Drosophila melanogaster: one gene and its partner. The protein of the gene in region 2 interacts with the protein of the main gene of each other region in a pairwise test. Each region holds a gene or a part of one and is shown on either strand. Other genes may lie near its edges.

What was found.
Region 1: the proteins of Unc-115a (region 2) and CG2017 interact in a two-hybrid assay, tested with the Drosophila melanogaster proteins (one large-scale study listed by BioGRID).

The regions. Positions count from the first base shown.
Region 1 is NT_033777.3:5,860,721-5,864,476, forward strand, and holds the start of CG2017 (uncharacterized protein), read right to left. Parts: upstream 1,686-3,756; 5' UTR 1,558-1,685; coding exon 1,450-1,557; intron 1,183-1,449; exon of another isoform or gene 1,027-1,182; intron 585-1,026; exon of another isoform or gene 270-584; intron 1-269.
Region 2 is NT_033777.3:9,698,297-9,702,052, forward strand, and holds the start of Unc-115a (uncoordinated 115a), read right to left. Parts: upstream 1,625-3,756; 5' UTR 1,333-1,624; coding exon 1,215-1,332; exon of another isoform or gene 1,136-1,214; coding exon of another isoform or gene 1,066-1,135; coding exon 755-1,065; intron 694-754; coding exon 22-693; intron 1-21.

The sequences.
Region 1 (3,756 bases), 3.8 Mb from region 2:
TTTTAATTTTATTTCGACACCACGTCATTTGTTTCACTTTAAAAACAATTATTTTTCAACTTCTATGTATCTTTTTGATGGAACCGTTTGCTTATGTGTATCCATCAAAACTGAAATTTTCCCCATTTGTTTTTTTGGCCGTCTTTGACTTGCAGCGACCTTGAAAATGCTTGTTTATGTTTGCCACGACTCTGGCCGTTGTTTCGAGCCCACGCGCGGGGGCAGGTGGAACAGAAGGTCGATAATACGACAAGTTCCAAACATCTTACCAGATAATCCCTATATTTGGCTCACTAATCAAACCAATCCGCTCGAGTTTATTCGAGATATTAAGCGCTAAAGCAGCTCCTATTTGCGCGCGACGCTGGCACAAAATATCGATTTTGGCTGCGCTTTTCATTTGCCCAGGTCGAATTTGTTGTTCGTTCGGCTATCTGGGTTCTGAGTGCTGTGCTTTGTAGTTGTAGTTCGTAGTTGTGTGCGTACTTGTGCTCTCCGCTTTTGGGTGCCTTTCGATTTTGTTTATAACCTGCTCCCGATTGTTTTGCTTTGTTGACCGAAGAACAAGCACCTGAATACTTCAAAAGCTTTCGCAATACCTTACCCTAGGGCGTTTGAGTTCTTTCATGGAACGTATTTTTTGTTTAGCAAGTGGGGGTTGAGCTTAAAAAAATTAACTTAGTGAATTTCCACAAGAAGAAAGTTACCTAAATATTTAATGCGGGATGTTATTACGAACCTATTTAATTACTAAAGCTAACGATAAATGGTAAATTTATAGGTTTTAATTCTAATTACTTTATTTTTGCAATTAGAAGGCAGGATATACAATGTTTAATTACGTCACACGCCATTACGTCCTTCGACACTGGAACTATAAAAGTTAACTTTTTCACGATTTTGATGCGAAGCCGCGACGTTTGATAATTTTATTCAACAATTAATGCTTGGCTTTCCACAATTCAAACACACCTCTTTAGTTCTACGATTGTTGTTCAAATAAGGAAACTTAGTTTAAAAACGAACCTTCTTAATTGTGAGATAACTCCCACACAATTAAATTATTACGTTTTATGTAGATACGCAATCTGTGTTGCGTAGCGGATTTCTGATCGACCAGACCCTTTCCTTTTTCGGCGCGTAGTTTTGACAGCTTTTCGCGTCTTGTCCTCGCCGCGTTTGCTTCGCATTTGATTTTCTACACAAGCGCTTTTGTTTTGACCGCGTCAGCTGCGTTATTATTCTCTATCTCTATCTCGAAATTGATTGAGGACGCTTCGCGGAAAGCTCCTTTCCGTTTGAATTCCGGGAAGTAACTGTCGCGTTTACCGAATTCATGCAACCAACAAACAAAAGCTTGGCAAGCATAGAGCGGAATTTCACAAGAAACAAAAATCGCGCTGCGATTTCATCAGCAAAACAAAAATGGAGTCAATGTGCTGCACTTACGCAGTTGCTGATGCAATACTGCGCCACAATGCGCGGATCTTCAATGGTCTCTGTGTGGGTGTTGCTGTTCGTGTTCGATTCACGTTGCCATGGCAATTTTGCACTCATGTGGGTTAAGCACTCACAACACACTTCAAATTTCGGGGACGCCAAAGTTGCGCCAGCAATCCAATCAATTATTATAAACCATAAACTTCCTACATTTTGTGACTCCGACAAACAGATGTTTATGCTCGCCACGCGTTAGTCCCTTTTGGACACTGACCTATCCAGTTGCTGCGCACCCTTACCAACACTGGCTGACGGGGCGTCCATTGTGAACGGCACACATTTTTCAAATTTAAATAGTAACGTATTTTTAACAATAAATGGGGTTGCGAAGGCGGTCATCTGCATGTCCTACATTTCCATACTTTACTTTAGTACTTTAGTGTTGAGAATTCGTTTTGGTAAATTTTACTCAAATAAGTTTATTAGCCAGCATAGAACTTAATTCCAATCTCGATGGAGCTATCTTGCAAGCTCAAAAACATCTGCTTTGCTACAAAATAATTTTGTATTGGTATCAAAAAATCATTCAAATGAGTGAAGATATGGTAACGTTTTTAGATTGCTAAAAAAAGAATTTAGGAAACCTTGTGCCTCCCAGCAATGAAAATACAACTCGAATTGCTTTAATTCAAACTCAATGTATTCTCATTAATATATTTACGTTTTATTCCTTATCATTAACATTATTACTTTATCACAAATATTTTAAGCATTTTTACATATGTAGTCAGTTACAATGATGTGTATATGTATGTATGTCTGTCTGTTTTCGGGACTTGGGCTTGCATGTATGTATGTACATCGTTGACCTCTCTGAGGCTCATAAAATAGTATCTGCTGACCTCGACATGGATCATGGGGATGTCGTGATGCTACAGGTTGTTGGGGATCGTTTTAAAATTGCACTACTGGCACTCGATTTTGGTTATCTACAGCGGGGACCTTTACTATATATGTATAAACTTGGAGGAAGTTTACGATTTGCTCTACCAGTTACCTGGATGCTATAACTTTTACATTTAAACATTATGACATTACATTGATTTTACTAATCGCTATCGATGACTTAGCATATACATTTCTTTTTTTCAATTACGTTTTTTCGATAGAAAGTCAAGAACTGAATCGCCCAACTGATATGACAAACGTTAGAACACTTATAGTCGTTTAGCCCTTGTCTTGAGTATGATATAGTCGTATAGCATTTCCGATGTGCTAATGCCTTGATAACAATTGCCAATGAAAGGGGGATGATAGGGTGGTGGGGGGGTGGGGGCTACGCTCCCCTCTTGAACTGCCCCAATCCTGCGAGCTGGGCCGACCCATTCAATATCCAATAAATAATGCTCAAGAATACATTCGTTGTGTATGTGTGTGTGTGTGTGCGTGCTCAGGTCCAACTGGTTGGCGTTCGTCAATGAGGTGTCTGTCTGTCGGAATTGGCCGGAATCGGGCCCATCAAATGGCCATCTGGAAGTGGAACTCCGTGCCTTTTATCCCTCTTATCGCTCGACCCGCATAAATCATTTTATTAGCTTATTAAAAAGTTTTCCATTTATTGTCATCGTTTTGCGCTATCGTGCGCACAAATCCGTGCCCAGTTCTATATACCCATTCATTTGGGATGGGGTACTCCGGATTGGTGATTCGGCCGGCAGCATGGATTGGGATATTTTTCTAAACTTTTCTTTATTGCTCACTTGTTGGCTGGCCCCGCTGCTAATGCCAGTGGAGCCGGAGCGGTAGCGGGAGCGGGAGCAACTGCTGTGACCATTAAATTCAAATCTGGTGCTGTTTTTGGCGCGTGTTTAAAAGTTAAATAATGACCAGCACTGGGCACGCAATGGCGCAAGACGTGTCCAATATAACTTTGCCTTTTTTCGGGTCGGCCCGACTTTGATCTCGTTTGCGGGAGGGCAGTTCAAATAGTGCGTCTGCGGCAGGAGGGGCTATGTTTTCCGGGGGATGTGTTCTTCTCACTTTAGCCGGGACAAACAGATTCAACAACGAGTTTCGAGTTGGAGAGCCCTGCTCCCAGCCACTCGGCCTCGCAATGGGTACAGGTCGTGGAAGATTAGTTTCACCTTGGGGGTCGCCCCTTAAATTAAAGACTGAACCACGAGGCGCGGGGCTGGGAGGGGCTACGACCTACACCAGTCGGAGGATATAGTATACAAGTACATCTACGGTTACACTTAGCTTAAACATTTACAAACGAACGGAGACACAGACACACGTATTACATATACATATTCG
Region 2 (3,756 bases):
TCTGTAGATCCGACTACTTACCATCTCGCTAAGGGCACTGGAGCTCATCCGGTCGCATTCAGTGTCTGTGAAGTTGCCATTGGAGGCACCTCCGACCACCGACGAAGTGCCTCCGCCGCCGTTCAAAATTATGCCGGACTCGGAGGGACCCGGACCGCATCGCGGATGCCAGATGGCACTGCCCTGCAGGTACATCTCCTCGCCGTCGCCGAAGGGATCGCCGCACTTTGTGCAGCGGGCACAGGTCGGATGGAAGTGGTGGTTGTCGCCCGCCTGGAGCACCTTGCCGCTAATGAAGCGACTGCAGTAGGCACACTTCACCCCGAATCCCTTCTGGTAGCACTTCTCGCAGTAGGGCACCGCGTCTTTGCCCATGTACTCCCCATTGAGCACCGCCTGGCAGGCCTTGCACCGGAAACAAGAGACATGCCACTGCCGGTCCAACGCCACCAGTGCCTGGCCCTCCTTCAGCAGCTCCCCACAGCCGGCACAGTCATTGGGATCGTAGTCCTCCTTGAGGTGCGCCTTATGAGAGATCACACTGCCGTGCTGCTGGTGGGCAGTGGCTCTCGTCGGACTCTCCGCCGGAGGAGCTGGCGAGGAGACGCCTCCACCCGTCGCCTGGCGACTGGGCGACACTGGAGCACCCGTGACGCATTGCTCGCAAAGCACCTCCTTTCCGGTGTTGGTCACCTGTGAGGAGGAATATGTGATTAGTTACTTATCACTCGATCTGTGGAGGGTTTCAGCTCACCTTACTGCCCGACTTGAAGGGCTGCTTGCACTTGGAGCAGGTGAAGCACTTCTGGTGATAGGTCTTGCCCATGGTGCTGACCACCTCGCCCTCCACATACTGCTGGCAATTTGCGCACTTGGTGCCGTACAGCCGCTGATAGTCCGGTATGCAATAGTAGGCGTTGTCCTTTGTGAAGAATCCGCCGGTGGCCAGGGACTTCTTGCACTGGCAGCACTGGAAGCAGGCCTTGTGGAAGTGGTTGTCCGCCACGCGGAGCACCTCGCCGGAGCACTTCTTCGTGCATTTCGCACAGTAGATTTTTTGTTTACCTGTTTGCGGGGAAAAGGGGACGAAAACGAAGGGAGAACTACGGTTAGTAGAGCCTGACATTAAATTCATTCAATCAGTACTATCGCCAGATTACGTATACGCAGTGTTGCGCTGATGTCATATGCATGTGATGCGATAATGCCCCAACCTTGCCCCGTTTTACCGAGCTCAGTTCGAAGCTCCGTTCCCAATGTGCTAGGGTATATCGGTCTGGTCTTGTCTGTTTGTGGATGTTTCGGAATGGATATATATATTAATATATACATCACAACTTATCGTATATCGTATGTTGCGAGATTCGTTGTATGTGTGTGTGCGTTGTTTCCCCCACACTTGTGTGCCTATGTAAGCACTTGTATTGACAGTCACAACCAGGCCAACTCTTCTACACACCCCGACATGGCCGTAAGTCGTTTGTAGTCTGACTCACGGGTCTGGCAAGCCATTAATCTTATCATTGATAAGGCCAAGGGCAGATATTTTCTTTATATAAAGACAGCACACACACAAACACTGCTCGTTAATGTACACACAAGTGTGGAACAGGTTAAATAGATGTGTGACATGGAGCCCCCAGTTTTGCATATGTCCATGGGGGTAGCATGCACATGTGTACATAGTGTGAGAAATATCCCAACCAACTGCAAATAAACTGCAAGGTAGAAGCAAAGACACTAGAATAACTAGTGTCTTTGGTAGAAGATAACAAGCATTCATAAAGAATTACTTGGAATGCGAAAGGGGGACAAAACTGCCACCCTTTGAGAATCACTGAAAGTAAAGCGACTTCTGGGAAGACTCTGCCGTATTGAAACTTTAGATACGTTTGCTTTATCACCTGTTGAATCAATAATCTGACCAGACTCAGATATTTGCTATCTGATCGTTTGTATCTGGTTCAGGAGCTATATATTCTCATATATATTCTCATGAGTTGACTTACATGCCAACACATAGTGTTCCTTATTGCAAGATCAGTCATGAAGGGAACTTGGAGCTCGGAACTCGGCACCATGACGGCTGAACGCATCGAAACTAATTGTTGGCCATGACTGATGTGCTGATCTGTTCTGGCGGCTTTCTTGTCCGCCGGAGGCAGAAGTCTGCGGTTGATTAAATAGACAGCGGAACATCCCAGCCACACCACATCGGCTAAAAGCAGCCGCTTGCAGTGCATAACAAGAGTAAAGATACATATACATACATACATATGCATATGTGGATAAATGTGTGTGTATGTATATAAGAGCGACCGCATTGTATCGCGCTGTCTGAACATTTTTCACCATCTCACTGTTGTTTTTTCAGGCCTTTTGGATTTTTTTGTTTTTCCCCAATTTAGTCGGCAGTTGTGTTGCTTTTTCATATTTGGGTTGCTTCCAAAATAGAAATTATTGATAAGCCCGTAGCTCAGGTTCATGTGTGCCATTAGCTTGTTCTATAATAGTGACGTATGTCTGCGCACTAACGGTATCAGCCATTATCTTGTATTAAATTGTTTATAGCATTCTCTTAATGTTTCCTATTCATGGAGAACTAATCAAGAACATTAAATTGTGTGACTAGAATAAGAACTATTCTGACTAGACTCATTAAAAACTTTAAAAGCTTCATTTGTAAGTAGATTTAAATGTGCTAAGTGATAAGAGGAAAACTAAGAATTATATAGAATTTAGAGGGAGAGCAACGGTCTAGATGTTCTTTCCACTGTTTATTTTGAATTTAAAACCAATACTATTACTTAATATACACGATCAATCTACCAGGTTACCAACACATCTCAATATGGCGAGAATAGTACATACACAAAAATTCAAGAATGAATATTTATTTGTGCGGTGACGCCACCGAAATTTTTCACATTCGGCGGTCCAGTTGGAATGAAAGACGACCTGATAATACAAACTCAGATACAGATACACCGGCTCAGTTTCAGATACATTTACGGATACATGTGTATATTGTTCGACAGAGAGCGGGCTTTCGTCACCAACTTGGACTTCCGCCCCATAGTTTGTTTAAAGTTCGTGTACGTGCTCTGCCCGTTTTAATTAATTTCATTATGTTTCGCTGACTATCTGCCTTGTTTATTATGCAATCACACACATTTTGTTCCACAATTTGCATATTGATTTTGGCATTTTGTTTATTGACTTTCCAGCGCTTCGCCCCACCCCCACCCCCTCACTTCTATTAGCGATCACCCGCTAATTGACAAACAAAACCAGCGAAAATTACATTTTCATGCAACAGAGAGCCGGCAAAACGGCGACTTTGCCTCATCCAAGTTAGTACAATAAAAGTTTGAGCGCTCATTTTCAGTGTTGTTTTATTGTAATTGCGCAGAGCGATTTTAGTGACGATGATGTCATCGTCATCGTCGTCAATGTGGAGCTGTGGAGTTGCGCGATTGCGACTGCCAGTATGTGCCACAACTGTGGACCGCAAACAAACTGGTTGCTTTGGGCTGCTCGTATTTGAAATATGTACAAACAAACAATACGAAAATTCGGAACGAGAACATATACATATGTACATACATACGGAGTATGGTACAATAAGAAAAAAAACCCGTCCGGCTGCCAGGGGGCAAGTCCAAGGTTACAGTCGCACACTCCGACCAGACCCCATCGATTCGATGTGGAGGGGTCAAGCTGCAGGGCAGCGAAAATATTTTAATTAATTTCAGC